Caenorhabditis elegans: one gene and its partner. The protein of the gene in region 1 interacts with the protein of each later gene in a pairwise test. Each region holds a gene or a part of one and is shown on either strand. Other genes may lie near its edges.

What was found. The genes of interacting proteins can lie anywhere in the genome.
Region 2: the proteins of ddl-1 (region 1) and ddl-2 interact in binary tests that used the Caenorhabditis elegans proteins (3 or more experiments, as listed by UniProt).

Annotation. Positions count from the first base shown.
Region 1 is NC_003280.10:5,646,659-5,649,806, reverse strand, and holds ddl-1 (WASH complex subunit homolog 3), read left to right. Parts: upstream 1-1,922; 5' UTR 1,923-1,932; coding exon 1,933-1,977; intron 1,978-2,026; coding exon 2,027-2,392; intron 2,393-2,442; coding exon 2,443-2,601; 3' UTR 2,602-2,648; downstream 2,649-3,148. Other genes in the region: putative serine/threonine-protein kinase zyg-1, read right to left, coding at 1-33; F59E12.17 (Anaphase-promoting complex subunit 13), read left to right, coding at 366-449, 523-678; sam-4 (BLOC-1-related complex subunit 5), read left to right, coding at 733-1,025, 1,072-1,279, 1,398-1,619; F59E12.9 (TFIIS central domain-containing protein), read left to right, coding at 2,770-2,859, 2,907-2,979, 3,027-3,148. UniProt on the Caenorhabditis elegans protein: Acts as a component of the WASH core complex that functions as a nucleation-promoting factor (NPF) at the surface of endosomes, where it recruits and activates the Arp2/3 complex to induce actin polymerization, playing a key role in the fission of tubules that serve as transport intermediates during endosome sorting.
Region 2 is NC_003280.10:13,541,646-13,549,783, reverse strand, and holds the start of ddl-2 (WASH complex subunit homolog 1), read left to right. Parts: upstream 1-2,138; 5' UTR 2,139-2,154; coding exon 2,155-2,358; intron 2,359-3,187; coding exon 3,188-3,812; intron 3,813-6,284; coding exon 6,285-6,949; 3' UTR 6,950-8,138. UniProt on the Caenorhabditis elegans protein: Acts as a component of the WASH core complex that functions as a nucleation-promoting factor (NPF) at the surface of endosomes, where it recruits and activates the Arp2/3 complex to induce actin polymerization, playing a key role in the fission of tubules that serve as transport intermediates during endosome sorting.

The DNA of each region.
Region 1 (3,148 bases):
ACTCAATCTTGAACCACTCTTCCCACCGCTCATCTCATAGTTGATCAACACTTGGTGCGCTAAAAATAAGATGAAAAAACACAAAAAATAGGAAAAATAAATTTGGAGTTTGAAAAATCCGTTTTGGCGGCCGAGGGACTAGAATTCATATTTCGGTCGTCTGTCAGTAGAGCGCAACTGTTCAGTTATCGGTTTTCTCTGCGTCTCTCGTTTCGTAATGTGTTCAAACTCAACGCGCTCTCCAGGTCTGCACAATTTTTCTTTTTATTCCTTTTTGGAGTTTTCCATTTATTTTAAACGTTTCCGATTAAAAATACATAAAATTATTGATTACAGGATAAGGAAACTTCGGAGAAAGCCATCGTATGTCGTTCGTCCCATCAGAAGTTCGACTTGATCACACATTTTTAGAGTGGGACAAAGAGTGGATATTCCAGCGTCTGCCAAAGGTTTGTGACAAGCTTTTCGAATAATTAAAGTGTAAAACCCGTAAGTATTGAAATTAAAATTATTCATTTTTAGACCGAGATTCAAATTCCGCGCGAGTTTGAGCCAGATATCGAAACCGACGCAATTCCCACCATTGCTCGTCAGCCCGCCGACCCAAACACTACCTGGAACGAGACTGGTTTGGATCAAATTCAAATGGGACCAACCATCAATAGTACAAAAAATTAAATCAAGGTTTGTGAAAGTTGATGTAATTTTTTAACTTCTTACACAAATTTTCAGATGGGAAACGAACAAAGCTCGTCAACAGCGGGCACATCATCTAATCCTCAAAATCAACAGTCGTCTTTTTCATTTCTCACTCGAGCCAGTACTAAACGATCAAAAGGCATTATCACGGTCAAAGATGGCAATATTCCTCAAGAAAAACTCGAAGATGATGAAATTTACAAAAGATTCACCGAAATTCCCCGTTTTTTGCCGGTGATTCCAGCCGTAATAGGCAAACGAGATCCACAAACGAATCAAGGAGCTTCTTACACTCATCAAAAAATCAGTTCGCGGCCCTTTTTTCGGTAAGATTTATTCCTTTTATTCAAAGTTTTAAAGTCACATATTCAGACTAGCAACACGATTACAAGAACATTTTGCCGTTAATGCGAAAGCAGTGGCAGCAGATCAAGCTAAAATTCCAGCAACTTGCAAGAGTGTTGAAGCGAAAATGATCAGACTTATTGAAGAAACAAGAGCTCATAAAGAACAACATGACGGTTTTATGGCTGCATTGAGCGGACTTAATCAATTGCACGATGACATCTGTAGTATTCAGGTGCGAATTAGAAAAAGAAACAATATTTAATGCATCATACCAAAATTGATTTTTAAAATGTTGCACCTTACATTTTTGCTCAAAAAACTTGCTCCGTTTATCAAAAATTAATTTTCAGATAATTCTTGAAGATATTGTGCCAATGGTTGAAACGCTTAATGAAATTCTAACTCCCGACGAACGTCTTCCTCCTCTTAATCTTGGCTCAGTGCTCGACAGATCTCCCGTTCCAAGCAGTGATAGCTCACTTCAAAGTACGCCCCGCCATAATCAAAATATTGGTCATATTGATCAAATTGAGCCGATTGAAGAAATCCGCGTAGTTGATCTACCAAAATAATTAATTTGTAAATTTTTATTCTCTTCTTGAATCTGTTGCCCTATCGCCCTTCCCAAAAAGTCTTGAAGGCTTTATCTCACTTTCTTCTCGCAATATCAAAATTCCATTGCCGTTTTGTGATTTTTTATTTAGTTCATGCACATATTTATCCGTCAATCCTATTTTGATTTCTAAATTTATCATAAATTCTAGTATTTTTCGCAAATTAATCTAATTAATTTACTTTGAATCTAACTTATATGGTTTGTGCCTTTTTCATATTTCCATTTCTTGTAATTAATTGCATCATTAATTAATTTTTAGATCACCAGCAATGAATGCGAGCTCCAGAACCAAACCTGCAATCGATTTGAACAAGGTAATATCTTAAAATCTCATCATAAAACTTTAAAGCTAAATTTTTTAAGGTTCCTCCGATCGATCATCACCGTACAGCAGTAACATTCAACTGTCTCATCATGAAAATGACAGAAATGCTCAATAATTTCGGAAATAAAATGGAAGACATTTTGGAAAAGGCAGAGCAGAGTTTAGACACTGCCGATCGAAAGTTACGCTTGATGGAATCGAAATTGGCAGGAATGAGTTTGGAGGATAAATCAACCACCGCCACACCATCATCAGCACCAGAAATAGACGAAATTCACGAATCGAATCCCAGCTCTTCACAAATCGTGGAGGAAACAGTGGAAGAGAAACCAGAAGAACATACTACGACGGTTCTTATCAAAGACGACCCGGCTTATAGTAAATATTTCAAAATGCTGAAATTGGTGAGTTTATCCACTTGAAATTGCTTTAATAATACTGTAATTTTTTTTAGGGAGTGCTTGAAGCTGGTGTAATACAGAAAATGAAATCCGAAGGCGTCGACCCATCAATTTTGAAACGCGGTGATGAACCATCTCGTCCACAGGCACAGACTTCACGGAATTATGAATCTTCTGGAGAATCTACGGCATCCTTCTCTGACTCTGATTAATTTATTTTTTGTATATTTTTACGGGTTCATAAAATGTATAAAACATTATTTTTTAATTTTCGGAATATGATGTACTACACTGTTAACTCGTTTTAACGATTATGATATACTTCTATTCATTTTTTTAAAATTGATATAATATACATACTAATTTCCCTTTCAGACAAAATGAAATCACATTCAAATGTAACTACGCCACAAGCAGAACTTGTGAGCCCAGCCATGGGTGAACTACTCAAAAATGCCATCATGAAATCTGTAAGTTATTAAATTAATATCACATGGAAACTTTATTTGAAATTTAGGCTCCTGTCGCTCTTGCACTTATGAAAGGTGAACGTCCTGGGAAGAAAAAGAAAAATAAAAGGGAAAAACAAGGTGAGCGACCGTTCGAATAAATGATTAGACTATCGGCAGTTTTTCAGAAGATGACGTGGAAGTTACACCAAAGTCGAAAGAGAAACGTCGGAAAAGCGAGAAGAAGGAAAAACCTCCAATTTTGAATTATTTGGACGATTCAGATTCTGATTCGGCAGATTTTTCATCA
Region 2 (8,138 bases), 7.9 Mb from region 1:
AAACGCGAAAAAATTTGAACATTTCCTAGAAAAACAGCAAAAAACTTTTAAAAAAACTGGAAAAAAAAACTGAAAATTTCAAAGAAAAAATCGAAAAAATTCTAAAAGTTTCAAAAAATACATCTTAAAAAATGCAAAAAAAACCAGACTTTTTTTAAAAGCCTAGGTACATTGATATTTCTGCCGAAAAATAGGAAATTTTAGACTTTACTGGGAAAAAGTCGTTAAAATGTGACTATTTTTTTTTTGGAATTTGTAGAGTTTTTTTTAGTTATGACACATTCGTGGAATATTTTAGAAACAAAGTTTTCCACGAATGTGTAATAACGAAATTCTGATGGTTTTTTCTCAGGAAATGGCTTGAAACATTGAAAAAAACCCCATTTTTTGTTATTACACATTCGCGGAATTTTCTAGGGAGAAAATTTCCACGAATGTGTAATAACGAAATTCTGATGGTTTTTTCTCAGGAAATGGCTTGAAAAATTGCAACCCAAAAAAAAAACGCTTATTTTGTTATTACACATTCGTGAGATATTTTAGAGAAAAAATTCTTACGAATGTGTAATAAGAAAATTCTAATGGCTATTTTCTTCGGAAATAGCTTGAAAAATTGCAAAAAACACGTCTTTTTGTTATTATACATTCGTAAAATTCTGAAGAGAGGAAATTTCCACGAAAGTGTAATAAAAAATTTCTACTATTTTTTTTTCTCCGAAACACGCTTGAAACATTGAAAAAAAACACCCTAATTTTTTGTTATTACACATTCGTGGAGTTTTTGACGGAGAAAATTTCCACGAATGTGTAATAAAAAAATTCTAATGGCTATTTTCTTCGGAAATAGCTTGAAAAATTGCAAAAAAAACTTATTTTTGTTATTACACATTCGTGGAAATTTTTGCGGGAGAAAATTTCCACGAATGTGTTATAACGAAATTCTAATGGCTATTTTCTCCGAAAGAGCTTCAAAATTGCAGAAAAATCAATCATTTTTGTTATTACACATTTGTGGAATTTTTTAGGGAGAAAATTTCCACGAATGTGTAATAACAAAATTCTGATGGCTTTTTCTCCGAAAGAGCTTCAAAATTACAAAAAATGCAATTTTGAGCACCGAAAAGCTTTTAAATTTTAGATTTTCAAATAATTTTTCTTTCGAATTTTCGGAGTATTTTAAATATTTTTCCGTCTTCGGAATTTTTTCCGATGATTCCATAATTTTTACGATTTTTTAAAAAATAATTTAAAATTTCAGAATATGTCAATATTTCTAGAAAAACAAAATCGATTTTTGAAACTTTTTGACTTTTGGGGTCCGCAAAAAGACCGGCTAGTTTTTATTACAAATTCTTTCAAAAAAAAAAAAAAGAAATATTTCACAAAAATTCACAAAACAAGTGTTTTTTGTTTGTTATCACACATTCGTGGAAATTTTCTTCCTAAAAAATTTCACAAACGTGTAATAACAACATTTTTTTGTTGTTGCAATTTTCAAGCTATTCCCGGAGAAAAACCATTAGAATTTTTTTATTACACATTCGTGGAAGTTTTCTCCCTAAACATTTCCACGAATGTGTAATAACAAAAAATGAGTGATTTTTTTGCAATTTTTCCAGCTATTATTTCAGAAGAAAATACTTGTGAAAAATTGCAAGTTTAAAAAATTTCAAAGAAAATGTCAATTCTCAACCCGTAAACAACCACATTTTTTGCAGATATTCTCCACACGTACTTCTCCATCGCCGCACTCTCACTGCTCGGCGAGCCCGCCGTCAATCCAGTTCATCCATCGCTCAACGTGTCGATGCGAGTAGCCGAACGTATTGCCAGACTTCAATTTGATTAATTTTTGCTTAAAAATTCCGTTTTTCTCGATTTTTTAACTTGAAAATCGCATTTTTTACTTTTTTTTCCAGTTTTTCCCGGATTTTTTCATTCAAAATATCCAATTTTCCCCCAAGCTTTCGCCAAAAAAAAATCTTCCAAAACTTGTACCAATCTAAGCTTTTCCCCCCCATAAATTATAAAATTTCTCCCATTTTTTCCAATTTTTTCGAAATTTTTCCAACTGTTCTAGCCAGTTTTACCATACTTCTACCACCTATTTTTAATATTTTTAGCCCGATTTTTTCCAGATTTTTCGGGTAACAAATGTACCATGTTCCGCTGATTCCACGCGACGCTGGCCGCGAGGAGACCATTTTTCGAATCAATCAGTCGTTGCAGAAGCTTCTGCGAGTTTCTGATGAGATTTTCGATCGGGTCGAGCACAGAATTACGAGGATTCATGGGAAGGCTGAGGCGATTGATAGAAGGACGGAGGTGTTGGAGAAGAAGCTTGAGAGCTTGCAGGAGGTACTGGAAATCGTGGAGAAGCTGAAAAAAAAATTGTAGAAATTTGAGGAAAAAAAATTAATTTTTTGTCTTTTCCCAGAAAATTTGGAAAAAAACCGGAATTTTCAAAATTTCACAAAAAGCTAATTAATGCTAATTTTTTTTTGAAAATTAAAGAAAATATTTTTGTAAAAAAAAGCAAAAAATATTTTTTTTTCAAAAAAAAAATTGTTTTTCAAATTTTTCAATATTAATCGAAAAAATAATTTAAATTGCAAATTTCGACGTAAAATTAAAAAAAATTGAATTTTTTAACATTAAAAAATGTTTGAAAAAACCGGAAATTCCAAAATTTCAAAAAATTGGAAATTGGAAAAAATACACGACTTTATTTCGAAAAAAAGTTTTTTAAAAACTGCTTTTTGAAAAAAAAAATCAAAATTCAATTTTCCCCTAGAAACTAGTTTTTTTTTTCGATTTTTTATTCAAAAAACTAAAAAAATTATTAAAATGTCGAAAACTCTATTAATCAAAAATTATATATTCTTTTCCCAAAAATTGGAAAAAATGCAATTTTTTCCCCAAAAAAAACGCCGGAAATTAGAAAGTTTCAAGAAAAAAAAAATTTCTTTTAAAAAATTGAAAATTCTATAACCTTTCGCCCAAAAATTGGAAAAAAAAACGAATTCTGTGAAAAAAAAAGCTCAAAATTTTTTTTAAAATAGAATTTAAAAAAATTTAAAGTCCAATTTTTTTCGCAAAAAAAATTATATTTCGGAAAAAAACCGAGAAAATTCAATGTTTTTACTCAAAAAAACTAGAAAAAATTCAAATCCGAGCAATTTTGCAGTCCGACAAAGTGATCACGTTCACCCTGCCCCGCCAACTTCCAAAACTCCCCGAAGAGCCCCCCACCTCAACATCTCTCTTCCGAATAAACATCGACACTGAGCATTTCCCGGGCTCCGAAGAGCTTCCAGCATTCCGCCGAGCCGATGATCATGTGCTCCGACCCTGTGAGCCCATCGACTTTACCTATGAGCTTAACAAACCCGACAAGTTCTTCCTGACGAGTCAAGTACTGAAAGAGTATGAGCAGAAGGGATGGGAACGGTACAAGAAGCGGCTGCTCGGAGGGCTCAGGGAGCTCTCCAGGAGCCCAGAGCACATCGCTGAGCTCTTCTACGCGGGCACCTCAATTCCAGCTTTCGAAGGTGTTTCTGGAGATTTCAGCAAGAAGGCTCTTGACGCGGATGATGATGGTGGGACATCTAGAAGTGGACGGACGACGGATGAGCTGGCTCAGCTTCGGCTCCACGAGCAACTGCTTGAGGATACGGCACTGAGCAGTACTCTAATGCAGGAAGATTCTTTGGATGATAATCATCCGTTGGCATTTCGGATTAATTTTAATGAGAAGAAGAAGAAGACGGCGAAAATGGTTGAGATGCCTGATAGTTTGCCTAATTTGAAAGGTGATTTTTGGAGCGGGGGGAATTGTGGAAAAAACAGGAAAAAAAAGAAAAAAAAAGAGAAAAAAAAACAGGAAAAAAAAGAGAAAAAAAAGATTTTTTCTTTTTTTTCTCTGTTTTCCTGTTTTTTTTCTCTTTAAAAAGAAAAGAGAAGAGAAAAAAAAGAGAAAAAAAAAACAGGAAAAAAAAGAAAAATCATTATTTTTTTTCTTTTTTTTTCATTTCTTTTTCTTTTTCAGGTGTTTTTTTTTGTCATTTTTTTTCGTTTTCGAGTTTTTTTTTTTTAATTTTTTTAAATGATTTAAATGAAAAAAAGAGAAAAAAACAGGGAAAAAAGAGAAAAAAGAGGAAAAAAGAGAAAAAAAAAGAAAAAAAAACAGGAAAAAAAAAGAAAAATCTTTATTTTTTTTCATTTCTTTTTCTTTTCCAGGTGTTTTTTTTTCATTTTTTTAAATGGTTTAAATGAAAAAAAAAAAAAAAAAAAAAAGGAAAAAAAAACAGAAAAAAAAGAAGAAATCTTTATTTTTTTCCGGTTTTTGTTTTCATTTCTTTTTCTTTTTCAGGTGTTTTTTTTCTTTTTTTTTCGTTTTCAAGCGTTTTTTTTTTCATTTTTTTAAATGGTTTAAATGAAAAAAAAGAGAAACAAAACAGGAAAAAAAGAGGAAAAAAAGAGAAAAAAGAGGAAAAAAAGAGAAAAAAAAGAAAAAAAAACAGGAAAAAAAAAGAACAATCTTTTTTTTTTTTCATTTCTTTTTCTTTTCCAGGTGTTTTTTTTGTCTTTTTTTTTTCGTTTTCAAGTGTTTTTTTTTTCATTTTTTTAAATGGTTTAAATGAAAAAAAGAGAAACAAAACAGGAAAAAAAGAGGAAAAAAAGAGAAAAAAGAGGAAAAAAAGAGAAAAAAAAGAAAAAAAAACAGGAAAAAAAAAGAACAATCTTTTTTTTTTTTCATTTCTTTTTCTTTTCCAGGTGTTTTTTTTGTCTTTTTTTTTTCGTTTTCAAGTGTTTTTTTTTTCATTTTTTTAAATGGTTTAAATGAAAAAAAGAGAAACAAAACAGGAAAAAAAGAGGAAAAAAAGAGAAAAAAGAGGAAAAAAAAGAGAAAAAAAAGAAAAAAAACAGGAAAAAAAAGAAAAAATCTTTATTTTTTTTCCTGTTTTTTTCACTTTTCTTCGTTTTCAAGTGTTTTTTTTTCATTTTTTTAAAATGATTTAAATGAAAAAAAAAGAGAAACAAAACAGGAAAAAAAGAGGAAAAAAAGAGAAAAAAGAGAAAAAAATGAAAAAAAAAGAAAAAAAAACAGGAAAAAAAAAGAAAAATCTTTTTTTTTTTTTCATTTCTTTTTCTTTTTCAGGTGTTTTTTTTTCTTTTTTTTTTCGTTTTCAAGTGTTTTTTTAATTTTTTTTAAATGATTTAAATGAAAAAAAAGAGAAACAAAACAGGAAAAAAAGAGGAAAAAAAGAGAAAAAAGAGGAAAAAAAAACAGAAAAAAAAAGAAGAAATCTTTATTTTTTTCCGGTTTTTGTTTTCATTTCTTTTTCTTTTTCAGGTGTTTTTTTTCTTTTTTTTTCGTTTTCAAGTGTTTTTTTTTCTTTTTTTTAAATGATTTAAATGAAAAAAAAGAGAAACAAAACAGGAAAAAAAAGAGGAAAAAAAGAGAAAAAAGAGGAAAAAAAAAGAGAAAAAAAAGAAAAAAAAACAGGAAAAAAAAGAAAAAATCTTTATTTTTTTTCCTGTTTTTTTCATTTTTCTTCGTTTTCAAGTGTTTTTTTTTTCATTTTTTTAAAATGATTTAAATGAAAAAAAAAGAGAAACAAAACAGGAAAAAAAGAGGAAAAAAAGAGAAAAAAGAGAAAAAAATGAAAAAAAAAGAAAAAATCTTTATTTTTTTCCTGTTTTTTTTTCATTTCTTTTTCTTTTTCAGGTGTTTTTTTGTCATTTTTTTTTCGTTTTCAAGTGTTTTTTTTTTCATTTTTTAAAATGATTTAAATGAAAAAAAAGAGAAACAAAACAGGAAAAAAAGAGAAAAAAAAAGAGAAAAAAGAGGAAAAAAATGAAAAAAAAATGAAAAAAAAACAGGAAAAAAAGAGAATTTGTGACGCTAAAATTGTTTGAAAATTAAAAAAAAGTTATTTTTCACAATTTTTCAGCGAAATTATGAACAAATTATTTTGTGTTAATTTTATAAATTTTTCAAAATTTTTCAGTATTTTTGAGTAAAAAAACGATATCCAGTTTTCAAGGAAAAACTGTAAAAAATCGAATTTTCGCCAAATTTAGCTTTTCAAAAAAAATATTGAAAAATTTCAAATTTTTGTGGAAAAATAGAAAAAAAAATGTTTTTTAATTTCATTTTTGCTCCAAAAAACTCGGGAATGTTAGGGGAAAATTTCCTTTGGAAAATTTCGTTAAAAAAATTTGAAATACCAAAATTTTCAGAGAAAAATCAAAAATCTTTTAAAAAATCCAAATTCCAGGCCACGCCCACGATTTCACTCTCCGCGACCCGGAAATCGATGAGGATCGGCTTCTAGACATCCTTCCAGCAGATGATCAGATTCCTGAAGCATCGGAGCCCACTGAAGCTGAAGCTGATGCTCCGACGACGTTCATTCTTCCACCACCACCACCACCGATGAAGCTTGATCCTTCTCCTCAGCCAGCTGCAACTCCAGTAGAGATCACAGAGATTCCTCCGATCATCTCACCTCCAGCACCACCACCGCCACCTCCACCACCGCCACCTCCACCTCCACCGCAGACCCCATCAGCAAGCTCCTCCGTAACCTTCAGCCCCACGAAATCCGTCGACGGAGGCCGTTCAGACTTGATGGCTGCGATCCGAGCAGCCGGTGGAGCTGGAAATGCGAAACTCAGCAGGATTGCCGAAAAGCCGAAGCGGAAGGGGAAATTCGATGGGATTCTTGAGTCGTCGGCTCTTCTCGGAGCATCGGAAACGCCGAGAAATTCAGCACCAGCTCCAGACGGCGGTGGTGGTGGTGGAGACTTGATGTCGGCATTGTCGAAGGCACTGGATGCACGAAGGAAGGCGATCAATGGGAAAGTGGAAGCCCAGCCGCCGGCCAAGGTTTCATCCACGATTCCGGCTCCACCGAATTTTGATGATGAGGAATGGGACTGAAATGGTTGATGGAAAATGACGGAAATTTTTGAAAAAAAACTGATTTTTTCTGCCTGAAATTGTAAAAAAATTGGAAAAAATCCGTTAAAAACTATGGGAATTCACGAATTTTTATTGAAAAAAAAACGTGAAATTTCAGAAAAAAAAAACAGATTTTTTTCGCCTAAAATTGTTTAAAAATTGGAAAAAATCCGTTAAAAATTATGGAAATTCCATGAAAAAAATTTTATTGAAAAAATCGAGAAATTTCTGTAAAAAACGGATTTTTCTGCCTGAATTTGTTTAAAAAATTGGAAAAAATGATGCAAATTCCACGAATTTTTATTGAAAAAATCGAGAAATTTCCGTCTAAAATTGATTAAATATATTCTAAAAAATTAAATTTTTCGAAGGAAAAACTAAATTTATATTATGAAAATTAGCTTCAAATGACGGAAATTCAAATTTCTAGGTTGAAAAATTTTGCAGATTAACGGAAAATTTCAGTTAAAAAATTCCGATTTTTTTCCAAGAATTTTCTCAGTTTGAAATTAACTTTTTTTTATTTTAAAAATGCCGAAAAACGTAAAAATTTCAGTTTTTTATTGGGCTTTTCCCAAATTTTAAATCGTAAAAACTGATGGAAATTCACATATTTTTATTGGAAAATTCTAGAAATCTCTGAAAAAAAAAACTGATTTTTTCGATTTTTTCTGCCTGAAATTGTGAAAAAAAATTGGAAAAAATCCGTTAAAAATGATGGAAAAAAATTCCATGAAATTCCATGAATTTTTGTTGAAAAATTCGAGAAATTTCCAGGAAATTTCCAATTTTTCGACTTTTTTTTTGAATTTTTTCAGGTTAAAATTGAAATTTTCGGTGGAATTCTATCAAAAAAATCGGGAAATAATTTTTTTCATCGCTAAAAAAAGTTGAAACAATTTATTTTTTTGACAATTTTTTCTTCAAAACCTCCCGAAATTTTTTTCCGATTTTTTAAATAATTAAATCTAAATTTTTCTATTTTTTAAGCCTTTTTTCACCATTTTCAGCTCCCAAAACTCTCGTTTTTCCCTATTTTTTCAAAATTTTAAAATTATATTTTTGCTCCCCTACTTGCCTGCCTGCCTGCCTACCTTTTTTCTGTGATTTTTCCATATTTTTTTCACTTTTTTTTCTGTGATTTTTTATCAATTTCCTTCCACCCGCT